2 linked regions of the Tamandua tetradactyla genome follow. The protein of the gene in region 2 interacts with the protein of the main gene of each other region in a pairwise test. Links are inferred from orthologs where the notes say so. Each region holds a gene or a part of one and is shown on either strand. Other genes may lie near its edges.

What was found.
Region 1: the proteins of WASHC3 (region 2) and SYCE1 interact in binary tests that used the Homo sapiens proteins (3 or more experiments, as listed by UniProt). The two-hybrid records come from large-scale screens. The link is inferred for Tamandua tetradactyla from reciprocal best matches to the Homo sapiens genes WASHC3 and SYCE1.

What each region holds. Positions count from the first base shown.
Region 1 is NC_135339.1:96,809,146-96,820,278, reverse strand, and holds the start of SYCE1 (synaptonemal complex central element protein 1), read right to left. Parts: upstream 4,090-11,133; 5' UTR 4,032-4,089; coding exon 3,953-4,031; intron 1-3,952. UniProt on the Homo sapiens protein: Major component of the transverse central element of synaptonemal complexes (SCS), formed between homologous chromosomes during meiotic prophase. Requires SYCP1 in order to be incorporated into the central element.
Region 2 is NC_135333.1:172,202,229-172,212,693, forward strand, and holds the start of WASHC3 (WASH complex subunit 3), read right to left. Parts: upstream 4,166-10,465; 5' UTR 4,031-4,165; coding exon 3,980-4,030; intron 3,541-3,979; coding exon 3,442-3,540; intron 1-3,441. UniProt on the Homo sapiens protein: Acts as a component of the WASH core complex that functions as a nucleation-promoting factor (NPF) at the surface of endosomes, where it recruits and activates the Arp2/3 complex to induce actin polymerization, playing a key role in the fission of tubules that serve as transport intermediates during endosome sorting.

The DNA.
Region 1 (11,133 bases), on a different chromosome or scaffold from region 2:
ATAATATATATATAAATAGCTTTCCCATATAAATAAAAAATGATTATAAAACCTCTCTGAAACATCTCATTAACAAATTTTAAAAGATCAATATAGATACTGATTTTAAAATTCTTAATGAATGATTAGATCTAGACAGTGATTATTAATGGCCAATAACTTTACAATAAAAATAACCAAACATTGTGAAATACCCATTAAGGATTACTGCCAAATAAATGAAACCTACAAGTCATTAAGCCAGTAGATCTGAATACCAGTTCCATGAAGACAGGGATGAGGAATGTGTTAAATGACATATGGGAATGCAATTAGCAGCATGCAGAACTATGAGAAATGTCACAGAGCAAACTATCTGTCTTTTTCTAAACAAATAAATTTGAAGGAGAAAAAAGAGCAAAAGGATGATCCTAACAGATTAAAAGGGATGTAAGAGACAAATCCAAAATTCACATGGAAGAGCAAGGGACTCAGAAGAGCCAGTCTTCAAAAAGAAGAACAAAGTCATAGAACACACATTTCCTGATTTCAAAACTTACTACAAAGCTACAGTATTCAAAACAGTATAGTACTGGCATAACTACAGACATATTGACAAATGCAATAGAATTCAAAGGCCAGAATTAAACCCACACATTTATGACCAACTGATTTTGGACAAGGATGCCAAATATATTCAATGGGGATATAATAATCTTTTCAACAAATGGTGCTGGGAAATCTGGATGTACAAATAAAAAAAAATAAAAAAAGAATCCCTACTTTACACCATATATAAAATTTAACTCAAAATGTATCAAGGACCTAAATATATGAGCTAAAACCAGAAAACTCTTAGAAAAAAACATAGGGGAAAATCTTTGTGACCTTGAATATGGCAATAATTTCTTAGGTGTGACACCAAAAGCACAAGGAACAAAAGAAAAAAAAATACATAAAACAGACTTCATCAAAATTAAAAACCTCTGTGCATCAAAGGACATTATCAAGAAAGTGAAAACAGTCTAAAGAACAGAAGAAATTAGTTGCAAATACTGTACAACTACAACTTAACAAAAAGGCAAACATCCCAGTTGAAAAAAGGGCAAAGGGCTGGAATAGACATTTTCCAAAGAAGATATAAAAATGGCCAACAAGAACATGAAAAGGTACCCAACATCATTAATCATTATGTAAATGCAAATCAAAACCACAAGGAGATACACCCAGTAGGATGGCTAGAATTCAAAACATGAAAAATAAGAAGTGTTGGATGTGCAACAAGGATGTAAAAAAATTTGAACCTTCCTGCATTGCTGGTAGGAACGTGAAACACTGCAGCCATTGTTGAAAACAGTTTGTCAGATCCTCAAAAAGTTAAAATATGACCCAGAAATTCCACTTCTAGGTATATATCCAAAAGAATCAAAAACAAGGACTCAGATATTTACCTGTTCCATAAATGTATAAACATTTACCAATGTATATGTTGAATATGGCAGTAATTTTAATATTATGTTGTGAATAATAGCAGCATTATTCAAAAAAGACAAAAGATGGAAACAGCCCAAGTGTTGATAGATGAATGGATAAACAAAAGTGGTATAGACAGTTGATGGAATATTATTCAACCATAAAAAGGAATAAAGTTTCTTATACATGCCATGGTTGAACCTTGAAAATATTATGCTAAGTAAAATAAGACAGACACAAAAGGGCAAATATTGTATGATCCACTTACATGAAATATCTGGAATAAGCAAATTCATGGAGACAGAAAATCAAATACAGATTACTAGGGGATAGAGGAAGGGAAATTGGAGGTTATTCTTAATGGGTACAGAGTTCGCATTTGGGGTGTTGACAAGGTTTGCCCATGGATGGTAGTGATGGTAATACATTATAAGAATAATTACTGCCATTGGATTGTACACTTATAAGAGGTTAACAGGGCAAATTTTATGTTAATTATATGTTACTACAATTAAAAAAATTAAAACCAAACACTTGTACAGTATGAGCCCTCTCCTTTTAACTTTTTATTTTGAAATAATTTCAAATTTATATGAAAATTGCAGAAGTAGGACACAGAGATCCTTTATACCCTTCACCTCAATTTCTCACTGGCTAATATTTTTGAATCTTTGACAATAAGATGCACACACAATGTCCCATTACCCTTTAATACTCCACTGTGAAGTTCTGAAGGTCAAGAACATTTTCCTATGTGGAAACTACAATACAACAATCAAATCCAAGAAATTAACAGTGTTATTAATATCTGATCTTTAAATACCATTAAAAAATTTCTCTTTCTCCTTTCCACTTTAAAATTCCACAAGTACTACCCACATTTCCCTAACAGAAAAATCAAACAATGACATTGAAAATGTCCCTCCACTTCTGCACACACACCCGCAAATCCAAATCCCCTTCCCAGAGTCATCAATTAGGAACATAGGTCTCAGCAGACACTTTCCTGTGAAATGGAAACTGGGGTACAATTAACACAATTTTCCAACTTGCTTTCTTCTCATATCTTTTAACTTCCTGTATCCATTATAAATATATATAATGTAAAAATTAAGTCCAATACATTTGACTTTAATTATGTTTCTTCCTCATTTTAGAAATCTAATGCCCAGGTATTTCATGGTGTGCATGTGTATACTTGGATTTAGCCATTCCATTCCCATGTTTTGCTATGAAGAGCAAGGCTCCAGCACTGTTTTTGGTACATGGATCTGTGTCTTGTGTGATCCCTAGGAAGGTGACTTTCTCAAGAGAAACCTGACTAACACAGTGACTAAAAGGCAAACAAGTTATTTAAATGCTAAAAATTTTACCAGACGGGCTACTGCATAGTCTTTACCTACTGTTTTTCCCACCAGCTTGTATGTGAAGACCTGTGACACTAGATAGCACCCCTGCTCTCTTTGAAACAATCTGATGAACTGAAAACAGAATCTCACTTTCTTTTAAATTTCTTCCATTGATGGTAAAGTTGATTAAATCTTCATGCAAATATGTCAGCTTATTTGAGGAACTGGAAAGAGAAATACCAAAAGTCTTCTTTAGGACAGTGGCAATCACTGCAGCTGCATAATAAAAGGGATATACATGCATCTGTCTTGTTTCTTTTCTGTTGTCCTTAGAGGAGGGCTGTGGTAGGGTGCCATGCTGTATCCTAAGCCAGCTTTGTGCTAAACTCACCTCACTGTTCAAATATTTATGTGTAAATGTGCGAAGCAGGCTCTGTTGTAAGCAAGTTCGGAGGGAGCGACCGCCACCTGCATTGACAAAGCACCTCAATGTGCCTGAACGGGTGGAGCGCGAGCCAACCTGACAGGGTCAACAAGTGACCTCATGTGGGAGTCACTGCACAATTCCATGTTACATACATCTGAAATCCCCACAAAACACCCAATAGCAGGGGGAGAAGTTTTCAATTCTCTACTCTGCTGGGCTGCGATCTCTGAACTTCTGAACAAATTAAAGGGGCTGCCATGTCCCTCTTTCCCTGGACAAGGGGAGTGCCGTCACTCTGGTCAGTGTCAGGAAGAAAAGAGGGACTCCGTGGGAGGAAATCCACGTGTAAGAGCCACTATGGGATAAAGAGGAGAATTTGGATACCGGTTGGTTGTGAGATGAAGATAACGGGAATTATTCATTCCCTTAAGTGCGGCAGGAGAAGAGAGAGTTCTTTATTTTAAGAGGTACGAACGGAAATTCTTAGGAAAGAAATGAAACGACGTCTTGAGCAAAATCTGGATCAAATAATGAGTTAAATCCAGGTGGGAGGAATGTGGGTAAATGTGCCTCCCATTTGTGGAACAGCCGAGGCTTCCCACAAACGTGGCTTCCATCTGGAGAGAGCAGGGGATGCCTCCCGCCCCTCCGCCGGCGCCTGGTGCCCCGAGCCCCTTCCCAAGCCCAGTTCCCAAGGAGGGCCTCGCCGCCTCCACACCACTACCTCCAGCTGGCTCCACGCTGTCCACGGCTCCTGTGGGCTCCGCGCTCGAAGGCCCCGACCTTCCCGCCATTTCCGCCATTTCCGTCCTACCCGTTGGTGCCTCACGTGATGATTGGGCCCCACCCTCGTGGGGGCGGGACGGCCGCAGCACGCCTGCGCAGTGCAGCCTCAGGAGCCGAGGGTGTTGGTTCCGGGCCTGCGCGAGGGCCGAGCCAGCACTGGCCAGTTGACAGTCAGTGTCCTGCGCATGGACACTACTGCCGGCCGCGCCAATCTTCCACGCTGGTGTTGCACTACTGTGCATGTGCGCAGCTCTCTGCCCATATTCTTCCTCGTGGGTGGTATCTTCATTCCGTGCGTGAAAATTCTGGACTTCAGCACGGCTCAGACATGACGAGTGTTCTGCCCGGACCATACAGGCCAGAATGTACCTGTCTCACCTTATCAGTCTTTAAACCACAAGCTCTGATGGCGCTGCCTCTCGGCAGGAGCAGAGGAAGCAGAGGAACGCGGGAGGGACGAAGGAACACCCGAATTGGAAGTTCAGTCAGAAGGCCGAGCCCTGGTGCAGGGCTAGAGAGTCAGGCGCGAGACATCATCCAGTGGGCATGCAGAGGAAGGGAAATGGGGTCCAAAGTTTCCACAAGCCAGGCGCGTGCCTGGGGGTCCTGACGTTCACCTGGTGCATGGTCCCCCTGCCATGCATCCCCCCATCAGCGTCGGCCACAGGGTCCCGGACACCCCCATGCTGGGTCTGGAGAGAGGGGCTACGAACAGAAAGCCCTTGGCTCCCCACTTGGCCCCCATGAGCTTCCCTCTGGAAACCCGGCAAGTAGCTGCCTGGGGTCAGACTCCTGGGCAGTGGTGCAGTGCTTCAGCAGGTTGTGGAGCGTGTCCTCCTTCATGTGGTGCAGGAGGTGGTCACCTGGGGCCTGAGGCAGGTGGAGCTCCAAGGAGGAGATCACCGGCAGGGCTGGGAGAGGGATGAGGATTAGAGGGTGGCAGAGCCACCCCAACCCCTTCTAGGGCTGCCTCTTGGCCATGCCTGGAGGTTAAATTAATGTTTCTGCACGTTAGTTAATTAACGTAGATTGTGGGACCTGGGTGTGAGTGGTACAGGATTGAAGGACCTCAATCTGCTCATCTGTGGGCTGCAGTCACCTGACACTTAACAAATGTTCTAAGAGCACCCCCCCCCAGCTTTCCATATATGTAGGTTAGACTAATATGCAACTGCAGGTAGCACTTATCAAACATTGTCCAGTTGTTCCAGTACCATTTATGAAGAGACTATTCTTTCCCCATTAAGTGGACTTGACACCCCTGTCATGTGTGGATTTACTTCTGAACTCAATTTTATTCTAGTGCTCAATAGGCATGTCCTTGTGCCAGTACAACACTGTTTTGTACTGGCACAAGGGCATAGTTTGTATTAAGTTTTGAATTGCTAGATATAGCAATTCAATTGCTAGGTATAGAATCCTTAGCTGGCAACTTTTTTTTTTTTTTACTGAACTTTGTTATCCCCTTGCTTTTTGACCCCAATGGTTTCTGATTAGAAATTGGTACTTAATCTTACTGAGGGAGCCTTGTACATGATATATTACCTCTCTGTTGCAGCTTTAAGGATCCTCCTTTTTTTCCTTTGGCATTCAGCAATTTAATTACAGTGTGTCTTGTGGCTCTCTTTGGGTTTATCCTGTTTGAAGTTCATTGTGATTGTCTCTCATTAAATTTGGGAAGTTTCTTGAATGTTCTTTCTGCCTCCTCTCTTTTTCTCCTTCTGTGATTCCCATAATACTTATAGTGATGTTTTAGTTTGTTAATGCAATGTGCCAGAAATGGGTTGGCTATTATAAAGAGAATTTATTAAGTTACAAGTTTATAGTCCTAAGGCCATAAAAAAAGAGATGAACTAAGGTATCCAGAGAAAGGTAACTTGACTCAAGAAAGGCTGATCTGGGAAGACGTGTGGCTGACATCTGCTGGCCGTTCAGCTTTTGGTTTCAAATGACTTAGCCAGGGGCATTTTCTTTCTGCATCTCCAAACGTCTTTGTCTATTGGCTTTGAAGCTTTTCCCAAAATGGTTCCTGCTTAGAGGACTGCAGTGAGCACGCCACCTTGAATGGGTGGAGTACATCTCCATGGAAACCACATAGTCAAAGCATCCCACCCACAATTGTGTGGATCACATCTCCATGGAAACAACTTAATAAAAAAGATCACACCCAACCATATTAAATAACATGGTTTTTCTGGGGTACACAACATTTTCAAACTGGCACAATTGGTATGTTTGATGGCCTCCTACTGGACTCTTAGGCTTTGTTCAGTTTTCTTTGTTTCTGCTCCTTAGATTGTACAATATTAATTGTCACATCTTCAAGTTCACTGTTTTTTTCTTCTGCCAGCTCCAATCTGCTGTTGAACCACTCTGAGGAATTTTTAATTTTAGTTATTATGGTTTTCAGCCCTAGTATTTATTTTTTTTTAACTTTTTTATTGTGTAGTATAACATATATACAAAGAAATAAAAAAGCAATAGTTTTCAAAGCATTCCTCAACAAGTAGTTACAGGTCAGATTCCAGAGTTTGCCATGGGCTACCATACGATCCCCTCAAATTTTTCCTTCTAGCTACTCCAGAATATAGGAGGCTAGAAGGCTTAAATATTTGTTTTATTATCACAATTGATTATTTTTCCTTTTTTGTGAAAAATAACATATATACAAAAAAGCTATAAAATTCAAAGCACAGCACCACAATTAGTTGTAAAACATGTTTCAGAGTTTAACATGGGTTACGATTCCACAATTTTAGGTTTTTACTTCTAGCTACTCTATAATACTGGAGACTAAAAGAGACATCAATTTAATGATTCAGCATTCGTATTCATTTGTTAAATCCTATCTTCTCTGTATAACTCCACCATTACCTTTAATCTTTCCAACCCTCTCTTTAGGGTTGTTTGGGTTATGGTCATTCTAACTTTTTCATATTGGAAGGGTCTGTTACTAATATGGGGTAGGGAGATGGAACTATCTGATGTTCTGGAGAGGCTGGGCCCTCTAGGTTTCAGGACTTATCTGGACCAGGGACCCATCTGGAGGTTGTAGGTTTATGGAAAGTTACTCTAGTGCATGGACCCCTTGTGGAATCTTATATATTGCCATAGGTGTTCTTAAGGATTGGCTGGAATAGCCTTGGTTGGAGGTTGACAGGTTATGATAGGTAGCAAGGTCTAACTGAAGCTTGCATAAGAGCAACCTCCAGAGTAGTCTCTCGACTCTATTTGAATTCTTTCTACCACTGATATTTTACACTTCTTTCCCCCCTTTTGGTCAGCATGGGATTGTTGATCACATCATGCCAGGACCAGATTCATCCCTGGGAGTCATCTCCCACATTGCCAGGGAGACTTTCACTCCTGAATGTCATATCCCATGTAGAGGGGAAGGTAATGATTTCACTTGCTTAGAGAAAGTGAGGCCACATCTGAGCAACAAAAGAGGTCCTCCAGTAGTAACTCTTAGCATGCCTATAGGTAGTCTAACCTTCTCTGCTACATACCTAAGCTTCACAAGAGTAAGCCTCATGATCGAGGGCTTGGTCTATTGAGTTGGGTGTCCCTAAAATTTGACACAGTATAATGACACTCCCTGATGGTAAGATTTAATAGTTTCATATTCTTTCTTCCCTCCTTCAGGGGACTTTACCAGTACTTTTTGATTATCTGCTTAATATACTCTAGGATGTATCCAGGCATTACAATATTCTGTACAAGATTATAGGCCCTCTTTCTTATTCTGGGCTCCTGGTTTTTTAATTGTTGAAATGAGTTATACAGATCGGTTGAATTAGATTATGCCCTACATAAAATTTCGGTTCCATTGGTCTCAAAGACTATGTGTGCATCTAAAATATAAACACTGTCTTCCTTACCCCTATTTTCTAAATTACTTTAACCCAAATCTGTTCAACTTCTTTCTTATCTCTAAACATCAGGTTATATATATAAAACAGCCTCTTAAAATACAGAAATAATAATCACCACTCTGGACTTAATGTGTCTGCTCTAAAGCTTATAATCTAGGCCCCTGTGTTCTTATAAACATTTACTAAAGGTGACCATACCATTCTTATTCTTTTGTTTCTGGCTTATTTTGTCTCACCAAATGTCCCACATGTTCATTCACATTGTTGCATGCCTCAAGACTTTGTTCCTTTTTGTAACAGCACAACCTTCATTCATAAGTATACACCATTGATCGCCAATCCACTTCTCCATCAGTGCATCCTTCAGCCACCTGCATTCATCGGGCATCATGTAGAAGGTCCAAAGTCCATGGTCGATCAACATTCTCAATTTTAGATAAATTTCATTGTTCCCAAAGTAAAGAAAACCAATAAACACACCCTCATCAAATAAGAAATCTAAACCTCCTCTTAAGTCTTGTTCCTCCCCCCATTATTTACCTCTGCTGTTGTTGTGGTAGTACTGATGATTTCCTTTTGAACGTAATCTGTAGCACAAAGTAGCAGTTTTCCCCCATACCCTGGACTTAAACACTCTTTGTACAAGAATCATAACTCTGAAGTAATTATTGCAAGAACTAATTCATATTTCTAGTGTTAATTAGTGGGACACGTGGGTCTATACAACCCCTTTCAATCTTGTTTATCTTCAATATGATAATATTACATATAGACCCACTAGAGAACCACCTTCTATTCCATTACATTGGAGATCAACCTCATTAGCTAAACGTTCACCCATCTCTAGCTTCTATGTATCTCCAAGCCCCCCATATTCTGTATTATAAGCCTCTAATTTGTCCTTTATTCTGGTCATAAAAGTGTAATCATACACTATCTATCCTTTTGTGTCTGGCTAATTTCACTCAGCATTATGTCCTCAAGGCTCATGTATCTTGTCATGTGCTTCAGAATGTCATTTTGTCTTACTGCTGCATAATATTCCATTGTACATATATATAACATTTTGTTGATCTACTCAACAAAATGTTGCTGGGCCTTTGGTTTGTTTCTATCTTTTCATGAATGTGAATAATTCTGCTATGAGCATCGGTGTGCAAATGTTTTTTGTGTCATTGCTTTCAGTTCTTATGGGTATATATCAAGTAGTTCTATTGGTGGGTCATAGGGCAACTCGATATTTAGTTTCCTAAGAAACCACTGAACAGTCTTCCATAATGGCTGCACCATTATACATTCCCACCAGCAGTGCATAAGTGCCCCAGTTTCTCCACATCCTCTCCAACATATATAGTTTCCTGTTTGTTTAATGCAGTCATTCTTATAGGCATGAGGTGGTATCTCATTGTAGTCTTGATCTGCATTTACCTTATAGCCAATAAAAATGGGCATCTCTTCATGTGCTTTTGAGCCATCTGTATTTGCTCTTCAGAAAAATGCCTATTTATATCTTTAGTCCATTTTATAATTGGGTTGTTTGTTCTTCTGTTGTTGAGTTGTATGATTTCTTTGTACATACAGGGAAATCAAGCCTTTGTATGATATGTGATTTCCAAATATTTTCTCCCATTGAATTGGCTGACTCTTCACCTTTTTGACAAAGTCTTTTGAGATGCAGAAGCACTTAATTTTGAGGATTTCCCATTTATCTATGTTTTCTTTTGTTGCTTGTGCTTTGGGTGTAAAGTTTAGGAAGCTACCTCTTATTACTAGATCTTGAAGAAGTTTCCCTCAATTTTCTTCTAGAAGTTCTTATATTTAGGTGTTTGATCCACTTTGCATTAATTTTTGTGTAGGGTGTAAGGTAGGGGTCCTCTTTCATTCTTTTGGCTATTGATATCCAGTTCTTCCATGCCCAATTATTGAAAAGACTCTTTTGTTCCATTTCAGTGGATTTGGGGGCCTTATCAAAAAGCAGTTGACCATAGATTTGGTGGTCTATTTCTGTACTCTCAATTCTATTCCATTGGTCAATGCTTCTGTCTTTGTGCCAGTACCATGCAGTACCAGTACTATGGCTTTATAAGAGGTTTTAAAGTCAGGGAGTGTTAATCCTCCCATTTTGTTCTTCTTTTTTAGGATGCTTTTAGCTATTCAGAGTCTCTTTCCCTTCCAGATGAATTTGGTAGTTAGCTTTTCTAAATCTTCAAAGTAGGTTGTTGGAAAGAGACTGTGTTGAATCTGTAGAACAGTTTGGGGAGAATTGACATCTTAACTATATTTCACCTTCCTATCCATGGGCAGGGAATGTCTTTCCACCTATTTAGATCTCCTTTGATTTCTTTTAGCAATGTTATGTAGTTTTCTGTTTACAAGTCCTCTACATCCCTAGTTAAGTTCATTCCTAAGTACCTGATTCTTTTAGTTGCTATTTTGAATGGAATTTTCCCCTTAATTTTCTCCTCAGCTAGGTCATTGCTTGTGTATAGAAATGTCACTGATTTTTGCACATTAATTTAATATTCTGCCATGTTGCTGAATTTGTTTATTAGTTCAAGTAACTTTGCTGTAGATTTCTCAGGATTTTCCAAGTAGAGTATCATATCTGCAAATAATGAGAATTTTATTTCTTCCTTTCTGATTTGGATGTCTTTTATCTTTTTGACCTGCCTGATTGCTCTAGCTGGAACTTCTAGCACAATGTTGAATAATAGTTGTGACAGTGGTCATCTTTGTCTTGTTCCTGATCTTAGGGAGAAAGCTTTCAGTCTCTCTCCATTGAGTATGATGCTGGCTATCAGTTTTTCATATAGTCTCTTTATCATATTGAGGAAGTTACCTTTGATTCCTATCTTTTTAAGTGTTTTTATCAGAAAATAATGCTGAATTTTGTCAAAAACTTTTTCAGCATCAATCGAGATGATCATGTGATTTTTCGCTTTCAATTGGTTAATGTGCTGTATTACATTAATTGATTTTCTTGTGTTGAACCATTCTTGCATTCTTGGTATAAAGCCCACTTGGTCATGGTGTATTATTCTTTTAATGTGTTGTGGATTCGATTTGCTAATCTTTTATTGAGAATTTTTGTATCTATGTTCATTAGGGAGATTGACCTTTAGTTTTCCTTTATATAGCATCTTTACCCAGTTTGGGTATTAAAATGATATTAGCTTCATAAAATGAGTTAGGTCGAGTTCTTTTTTCCTCATTTTTTTTTGGAAAAGTTTGAGCTGGATTGGTA
Region 2 (10,465 bases):
ACCCAGAAGTTAATACCTGAAACTAATCTCAGCTTTATTTATTGTACTGTTGTGATGGTTATTCCAGCCTAGTCTCAGCTCTATTCGTGATGGCTGCTCTAGTCCAGTATCAGCCCTGCATCTACCTGCTACTGTAATGGTAACAACTCCATGCCCTAAATGCCTATATTAAAAAACAAGCATGGGCAAAACTTGAGAATTTAACTGCTTACCTGGACAATTTATAGAAAGAACAGCAAACTAACCCCAAAGCAAATAAAAGAAGAGAAATAATAGAGACTAAAGCAGAAATAAACAAACTGGAGAACAATAAACAATAGAAAGACTCGACAAAATTAAAAGTTGGTTCTTTGAGAAAATTAATAAAATTGATGGTTTTTATTCATTATTTGCAGAAGACATGATCCTATCTATACTTAAAAAACTTGAGAAATCTACAGTAAAATTACTTGAGCTAATAAAAAAATTCAGCAAGGTGGCAAGCCAGAAGATTAATATACAAAAACCTGTAATGGGCTGACCAGTGAAACAGAACTGAGAGTACAGAGATTGAAAGAATAATTTATTCAATAAATGGGCATGGGAGAACTGGATTTCAAAGGCCAAAAGAATGAAAGAGGACCCTTACCTTACATCCTATACAAAAATTAATTCAAAATGGATCAAATGTAAGAGCCAGTACCATAAAATTTCTTGGAAAAAAATGTAGTGAAACATATTCAAGATCTGGTAACAGGAGGCAGTTCTTAAACCTTACACCTAAAGCACAAGCTGTGAAAGAAAAAGCAGACAAACAGGAATGCCTTAAGTTTAAGAGCTTCTGTGCTCCAAAGGATTTTGTTAAAAAGGTGAAGAGGCAGTCAACTCAATGGGAGAAAATATTTGGAAACCACATATCAGATAACGGCTTGATATCCTCTGTACAAAAAGAAATTATACAGCTCACCAACAAAAGAACAAACAACTCAATTATAAAATGGGCAGAGGAAATGGATAGGTACTTTCCTGAAGAGCAAATACAGATGGGTAAAATACACATGAAGAGCTACTCATCCTCACTGGCTGTAAGAGAAATGCAAATTAAGACAACAATAAGATACCTCACATCTGTAAGAATGGCTGGTATTAAACAACAGGAAATTACAAATGCTGGAGAGGATGCAGAGAAACTGGAACACTTATTCACTGTCGGTAGGAATGTAAAATGGTTAAGCTGCTGTGGAAATCAGTTTGGCGATTCCTCAGAAAACTAAATATTGAGTTGCCCTATGACCCGGCAATACCACTACTCGCTATATACCCAGAAGAGTTGAGGGCAGTGACACAAACAAACATTTGCACACTGATGTTCACAGAGGCATTGTGTTAGTTAGATTCAGTTGTCAACTTGGCCAGGTGAGCATACCTAGTCTTGTTGCTGCCATAAGCCAATGGTACGTGAACCTCATCTGTTGCTAATTACATCTGCAGTTGGCTAGGAGGCGTGTCTGCTGCAATGAGTGACGTTTGACTTAATTGGCTGGTGCTTAAATGAGAGATCACAACGTGGCACAGCTAAGCAGCTCGGCATTCCTCATCTCAGCACTTACAGCTCAGCCCAGGCCTTTGGAGATGCAGAAAGAAGTCACCCTGGGGAAAATTGTTGGACCCCAGGAGCCTGGAGTGAAGACCAGCAGAGACTATCCTGTGCCTTCCACGTAAGAACGAACCTCAGTGGAAAGTTAGCTGCTTTTCCTCTGAAGAACCAACAAAATAAATCCCCTTTTATTAAAAGCCAATCCGTCTCTGGTGTGTTGCATTCCAGCAGCTAGCAAACTAGAACAGGCACTATTCACAATTGTCAAGAGATGGAAACAATCCAGGCATCCATCAACAGATGAGTGCATAAACAAAATATGGTATATACACACTATGGAATATTATGTAGCATTTAGACAAAAGTGTCCCAAAACATATGCTGAGTGAAATAAGTCAGACACAAAAGGATACTGTATGATTCCAATATTATGACACTGATAAAGCTGCCAGTGTCTTGGAGCAGCTAGAAGGAAAAATCTGAATTTAGCCCATGACAAACTCTGGGAACTGTTCTGTAGCTGCTTGTTGAAGTGTGCGTCACAAATTTTTGCTTGTTTTCTTTCTTTTCCTTGTGTGTGTGTGCATATATACACATATATATATACTGTATTTTACAACTAAAAATTGGTTTAAAAAAGGTATTTTTCAAAAAAAGTGAATCATGAGGCTTTTACACCACAAGGCTTTGACAATTCATAAGCATTCAATCAAGAGATCATTATTACTTTTGATCTAAATGTCAGTAAATAGCACTCTTCAGGCGGTGGTAACTGTTAGGTGCTACAAAAGTGAGGGGCTATCCCTGCCTTAGAGCAGCTCAATCAACTTGATTTCAATGGTGTATGTGCTTGTTTTGTTATCATCGTCTGTTTTAGTTCTTAATTTGGTGATGAGGAATAAGGAGATGGACTATTTGCTCCTTTCCGCAAACAATCCTCGGATGTGCCCTTCCCAGAAACCTCTCTATCCCACCTGGTGTGAAAAGTGAAGGGCTAAATTCTCAGCTTACTGTTTTTTATTCAGTGAATTCTATATCCCGTTTAGACAGGCAGCATTACAAGATTAAGTTCATGGAAGCAAACACCTAGTCTTTCCGCCTGTTATCAAAGTATATTGAATTGATCCCCTTACGCTATGAATGAGCTCAGGCTGCATTTTTATTTGTCTCGGTGAGAAGGCAGAAGATTTTGATAAGCAGACAAACACAGTAGCTGGACTCATATTAGTGAACATTGTCTTCCTGTGTCCATACAACTTTTATTAATAACACATCTAACAAAAATTCCACTTGCTAAGGTTATACATAAAATAGAGTGAACTCGATACTGTTTACTCAGTTGTCTCACTTGTGAATTATCTAAGATCCATGATTTACCCACTTCTCATTTCTTCTGTTCTTTCCTAAACCCGATTTCAACCCGTTTCCCTTTTTTTGGCTTTTCTGGATCTGGTATCTAATCCTTCATCTGGTACTTAATCCTCACTGCATGAGTCATTTGCATCAAGTACCTTTATTTGCATAATGATACTGGAAGCTAAAGTTATGTTTCTAGGCTACCTCTCCTAATCATATTTTGGATCAAGGAATGTAAAATGATTTTAATATAAACTGAAACACTGTGCACCTAAAAATGTGAACCTTCGGGGTAAGGTGAACCCATCTATCAAGGATGTTTTCAACAGCGGCCCCGGGGAAGTCCTCTTGCTCGCTTTAGTCGCAGTCAACCCGCCCGAGCCATCGGACCCGGGCGCTGAGCACGCAGGTCCGCAGGGGCGCGGGGCAGCATCGGCCGAACCCGAGACGGCTCGAGGGTCTCTCCGGGCCACTCGGAACTCTACTCCAGGAGCCGCCACAGGACCTACCTCCTCACACACCGTGGAAAAGCGGTTGAGGAACTGGACTGTGTGCACCACAAACTGATTCAGAAACGCCACCGTTCTTTTCTGCTGGATAGCGGGCACCTGCGTGGCGCGGAGACAAACAGGACGCGGCGTGAGGCGCCGGCCACGCCTTCGCAGGCACCCCCTGGAGCCCTCAGAGCCGCTTCCTCAGTTTCCCCGGACAGCGGGGCGGGGGTCCGAAGAGGACAGAGGCTGCGGGCAAGTGGCGGAACGGGCTCTGGAGTCTCAGTACCTCGGACAGAAAGAACGTCCGGCGCCGAGCTCAAGGGGCCCTCGGGCGACCCGGGAAGCGGGGGCTGGGGGAGCGACCCCATCCGCTTCGTGGGGTCGGGGGCCCCACTGCGAGGCGGGCTGCGGGGCTGTGCCTCCCCAGGCCGGCAGAGGCCGAGGCTGGGGCCAGGGGCGGTGCGGCCTGCGGGCGGGGGCTTCTGCCCGGGGCCGGGCTCCCTCCCCATCCGCCTCCCCGGGCGCCGGAAGTTCAGCTCTGTGTTTTACAAACCTTGGTCAGGTCTAGGCCCGACCCCATGAGAGGAAGCCCGTCCTCATCCATCTCCTCGGAGGGTGGGGGGCCCCCGGGCTCCCTCGTAAAGCCCTCCCCGCTGGGACCCACCCAACACGGGCCTCACGTCGGGCACTTCCCGAACGCCGCCTTCCGGGGCCGGCCCGCCGGAAGGAAAGCCTCCGGGCGCCAATCACGCGGCAGGTCCCGGAAGGCCCGCCCCCTCGCTCGGCATTCTGGGACTGGTAGTTCCAGGGCCGGGTTGTGACGTCGCCCACGGGCGCGCCGAGTGGAGCTGGGCTGCGGAGACGTCTCGAAAACGGACGGGGGTGAAGAAAGAAAGGAGTCGGGGGTTGTGTCGGTTTGAGGTCTGTCCTGCGTAGTCTGGCCTGCTATGTAAATAGCTGTTCCGCCATTCGTTGAACAAATATGTATTTTCGGTCTACTCTGCTAGGTCCTGTGGGGACGCAAAGACGGAGACGAATTATGCTCTGAGGGAGGTAAGACCTGCCCCTGTGGGACTTCACAGCAGAAAATCAAATGTCACTTGCCACGTGGGAGGAATAAAGCAATGGAAATGGCTTCTTTAGATCGCGGAAAAGGTCACCTGGGAATGAGCTCTGACACTGAAATGTGAAGCTTTTGACTGCAGTGTAGCAGCTGTGTGACTTAGGACGGTCACCTCACCCAAAGCTTCGGCTTGTCCCGTGAAGCAGGCACGATGCTGAGGACGGAGAAGGTGACAGGAACCACAGTCTCTGCCCTCAAGAAGGTTATGACTCGGCTGTGCAGAATCTGGAAGAGCAGCTTCCGGACGGACAGGCCGACACAGTCCTGTGAGAGCTGCGCAGACGCACGTGGCCGGGATCGGAGTGCTGTGCGGCCATAGACGCAGGCTCGCCGCGGTGCGCTGAGAAAATAGAGGGAAGGAGCTGGGGAGCAGCTGCTTAACGCTGAGCGGGCTTGGCCTGCCAGACACGTGGGGTGGGAGGCCTGCGGGAGTGCGGCGCGGCCCTTAAGGAAAGGGAGTAGTGTTTGGTTCTATTGAAGCACGAAGTTCCAAATGGAGAATGATAGGAAATGAGACTGGATTCATAGAAACACACTCATTAAGGGCGTTTTGTGTCAGCTTTGATCCTATAGGCAGTGGTTCTCACAGTGACCGTGCAAATGGACAATCTAAATCAATATTTGCAAGGGGGTGGTGCTTCTTAATTGCATATTCCAGGGATTAATCCCAAATAAACCGAATAAAAGGTGCTGGGGGATGAGACCTAGAAAACTGCATTTTAAGTAACTCCTTAGGGATTATTCTAAACTGAAAGGTTTGAAAATTGCTTCTATATGTGATGAGGAGTAAGCGAAAGAAGTTAAGCAGGAAACAGGATTTGGAATTTGGAAAAGGGTAAGCAGTGACTAGCACATAGATACTTAATAAATGCTGGAAACAGAAAAGTTGAGAATAGTGTTTGTACACATCAATAATGGGAGGTAGAAGTGAGGAAGGATAGGACAAATAATTTTAAATGCATATCACTCTCCTTTGAAATGAAAATTCAGTTTTAATACACAGTTTTGAGGGCTAAGTATGATCCAGGCATGTTGGAATGTGTTGAAGAGTTATCCATTCAATCAACAGATAGTCCCTACTATGTGCTGTTATGAGTTGGGGATACTGCACTGATTAGAACTGCCCCCAAATTCCTGCCTTCATAGAAGTAAACAGATTATATGGAAAGCAAATCGATATTAAATTGTTTCCAGTCCAGGAATGGAGAAAGAAAATTGAAAAGAGAATAATAGTGTGATAGAGGCTAGGCTAAAGTATGCTGTGAAGAGGAGTACTTAACCCAGTTTGATGAAATTTGAGCTAGCTCCCTGGATGCATGATTTGAAAATGCAAAAGTTATCAAGGTGAAGGAGTATGGGAGGGGCATTCCACAAAGGGGAACAGGCTATGCAAAAGAACTGAGATTGAGCCCTAGAAAGCTACATGCTCACCTACTACCCACCTTTGACGGGAGGAAGACCACCACCTACTCTTTTTTTAAAAATATATTTTTATTGAGATATCTTTATGCACCAGACAGTCCATACAAAGTATACAATCAATGGCTCACAACATCACATAGTTGCATATTCATCACCATGATCATTTTTAGAAAACTTGCACCACTACAGAAAAAGAAATAAAGGGGGGGGGGAACCCATACATCCCATACCCCTTACCCCTCCCTCTCATTGACTACTGGCATTGCAATCTACCCAAATTTTTTACCTCTTATCTCCCCTATTAATTTGTCCTTATTTTCTTTTTATTCATTTGCCTATAACCTGGATAAAGGGAACATCAGCTACAAGGTTTTCATAATCACACAGTGACATTGTAAAAGCTCTATAGTTATACAATTGTCTATAAGAATCAAGGCTGTTGGACCACAGTTCAACAGTCTCAGGTACTTCCCTCCAGCCCCTTCAAAACACCATAAACAAAAAAGGGATAGCTATATAATGCATAAAAATAACCTCCAGAATGACCTCTCAATTCTTACTTGAAATCTCTCAGCCACTGAAACATTTAGTCTCATTTCTCTCTTTCCCCTTTTGGTCAAGAAGGTTTTCTCAAACTCATGATGCTGGGTCCTGGCTCATCCTGGGAGTTCTGTCCCATATTGCCAGGGAGGGAGATTTACACCCCCTGGGAGTCATGTCCCACATAGGGAGGAGGGCAATGAGGTCACTTGCCGATTTGGCTTAGAGAGAGAAAGAGAGAGAGAGAGGCCACATCTGAGCAACAAAAGAGGTTCTCTGGGGGAGACTCTTGGGCATAATTATAAGTAGGCTTACCTTCTGCTTTGTAGGAATAAGTTTCACAGGGGCAAGCCCCAAGAAAGAGGCTTGGCCTATTAAATTGATTGTGAGAACATCAGCAATCCCCTAGGTGGGAGATATGAATATTCCCTCCTTTCTCCCGGGTCCCCCAAGGGGACTTTGCAAATACTTTTTTATTCTCTGCCCAAATTATACTACCACCACTTACTCTTTCCAGAGCTTTGCCTACTCCTAGAGTCCCCACCCTTTCCTCTTCCAATGCCATTCTGTGCCTTGAGTTCATCACAATTAGTTCTGGACCCCGAAGTCATCTTTTAGCCTCAGACTCCCATCCTCATTCAACTTTCTATGTTGCCTTTTCTGACTCGTCCCCAACTCCTAGTCCCTACCTCTGTGCTCTGTGAATCTCAGGCTTTAGCAATCCCCGCATTTTCTCTTCCTCTTCTTTGATCATTCCCCTCCCAGAGCAGAATACCCAGCCGGTCAGCCTAGCTTTCCTGTCCACTGCTTCCCAGTTAAGGGGGCAAAAAAAACCTAATTACCTTATGATTTCATGGTGAAGTACAAGTAGCAGGCATGTGTGTGTGCGTGTGTGTGTGTGTGTGTGCGCACGGCACATGCATGCTGATTTGAAAGTATTACATACCACAGAAAAGCCCTGTTTTAGTCCTGATCCAATCATGAGGGGACAGCTGTTTCTTTTATCCTAATTCAATACTCTAGGTGGAAACTCTATTAGATCATCTCCATAAAGATGCGGCACACCCAATTGTGGGTATAACCTTTTGATTACGTGGAGATGTGACTGCACCAATTTCAGGTGGGTCTTGATTGGTTTACTGGAGTCCTTTAAAAGAGGAAACATTTTGGAGAGAGTTAGAAATAACGGAAGTGACAGAAGCCACACTTGAGAACAGAGACACGGATGTTTGGAGATGCTTGGAGCCCAGCTGATGTCACCATGAGATGTTAAGCCAGCTAGAACCTGGAGAGAGCCAAGGGAAGCTAATAAATTAAAGCCAGCCCTGGAGAAGCAAACTTAGGAACCCCACAGGAACAGAGGCTGAAAAGGAAACGGAGCCCAGAAGTAAGAGACCAGCAGATAGATGCCAGCCACTTGCCTTCCCAGCTGACAGAGCTGTTCCTGACCCATCGGCCTTTCTTGAGTAAGGTAACCTCTTGTTGGTGCCTTAATTTGGACACTTTCATTTCCTTAGAACAGTAAACCTGTACTTATTAAATTCCCTTTTTAAAGCTGTTCCATTTCTGCTATAGTGCATACTGGCAGCTTACAAACTAACAGTGTGTATATTATATATGTACACATACATACATATACACACATATCAAATTAAACTATAAAAACATGGGCTTGTTCTCAGTTGGTCAAGTGACCAAAATTAAAAAAAAAGTAATTTGGTTCCTTCAAAAAAAGAGACAAATATGCTACAAGATGTAAGCTATAGTTATGAAAGAAGAGAGGCAGTTTCTTTCTGCCTCCTAGGATTCTTGATGATTTTAATTAATCAGTCATCCATAGTTCCTGACAGCAGTGCCATTCACATTTTAATAACAGAATTTCCAGGACTATTAAAAATCTTTAACTAGGAGTCTTGACCAAATGCTGGAAGGTTTCTGAAATATGTACTTTTTCCTCCAGGCTTTCTTTCATTGGAAATGTATTACCAGATTTCATTTATATAGGAATAACAAGTAGATTGTTATGAATATCGATTTCAAAGGGCAGAGACTATACATACCACTTGTATATATTCATTCAATAGAAATCTTAAGGATTTTTCAATAGTTTTCTGTTTTCATAGCAGATTACTATAAATTGATGTTATTTAATTTTATCATGCATAAATTCTTTATTTTTGTCACATATTATTGAGATATATTCATTTATCATATATTTTATCCAAATCATATAATCAGTATCTCACAGTGTCTTCACTGAGTTGTGAAATCATCACATTCACTTTTAGACCATTTTTATTACTCCAAAAAGAAAATTATCAGAGATACACAAAAAGAAAACCCCAAACATCCTATATCCCTCATCTCCCCTATTATTGACCCTCATATGTATGGCACCAGCCACTATTGATGAAATAACTTCAAGTTATTACTGTTACCTACAGTCTGCAGCTTTCAGTAGGCACTCTTACCACACATACCATTCTATTATTAACTTTTTGTACAAGTATTGTACATTGTAATGAGAATTGGGTTCCTGTTTTTCCTTTATGTTTCTCCCCACTCTGCTTCAGGGTAGAACAGAGAGGCATGGTGTTGTTCATAATAGTGGGGAAGTATAATTAAATTTCAAATATCCCTGATCCCTACCTGTCCCTCAGAAGCAATACAAATCATCTCTTAGGACTTGGTTAAATAAAGGCACTCTAGAATAGGTATTTTACTTTACTTTTTCAGTCTGCTTCCTTTAATTGTTCTGGTTTTCCTAACTTCACTCCGCAAGTTAGGTTATAGGCTTATAACCTCTAGGAAGGAGACTGGATTCCTCAGCATACCTCAAGAGAACAGACCTAAAGCTATGCAGTTAGGTGTCCCTGGTTGTGCTGGTTTGAAAGGATTATGTGCCCTAGAAAAGGCATGTTTTAATACCGTTCCATCTTGTGGAAGTGGCCTTTTTTTAAAAATCCCTATTCAGCACTGCGGGTTGGAAACTTGATTAGGTTATTCCACGGAGATGTGACACACCCAATTGTGGGTATTAACCTTTGATTAGAGGGAGATGTGACTCCACCCATTCCAGGTGGGTCTTGATTAGAGGAAGCACTTTGGAAAGAGTGTTAGAACCACAACGGAGCCACGAGAACCTTGAGAGCCCACGCAGCCAGAGACCTTTGGAGATGAAGAAGGAAAACGCCCCTGGGGGAGCTTCATGAAACAAGAGGCCTGGAGAGAAAGCTTGCAGAGGCTGCCGAGTTTGCCACATGCCTTTCCAGTTGAGAGAGAAACCCCAAATATCATCGGCTTTCATGAACCTAGGGATCATTCCCTCGATGCCTTAGACTGTACATTTTCTATAGCCTTGCCTTATTTGGGACATTTTCTGCCTTAGAACTGTAAACCTACAACTTAATAATTTCACCCTTTTAAAAGATATTCCATTTCTGTTATATCACATTCCAGCCGCTTACAAACTGGTAAAACAGCCAACACCCTAATCATTTATCCTGCTTTCCTTGAGGGGTTTGGGGAAATGTTTCACTTTTCAGTTTACCAACTTTCAGGTAATACCCTGGTTTTAGTAAAGTATTGTGCTACTGAGTCTAGAGTCTCATTGGTTAACTTATCAAGAAGTGCCCAGAGGGGAAGGAGTAACTACCTGGCTGTGTGAGCCCAGGGAGAGGTCTCATCTCTGCTCATCCAGACTCTCATTTAAGCCTTCTGTGTAGCATGCTCCGAAACACTGCATCCCCCTTCAGAGGAATTGGTGCTTTAAGTTCCTTAGCACTACAGAAATACAAGTGTCTTCCTGATGGTCCTGCCTTGGAGAAAATCAGGACCACGAAGCCACTTCTCTTTTTTAATCCTTGTGTCAGTTTGATCTGTGATATACCCCAGAAAAGCCAAGTTCTTTAATCCTCATTCAGTATTGCTGGGTGGGAGATTTTTTATTGTTTC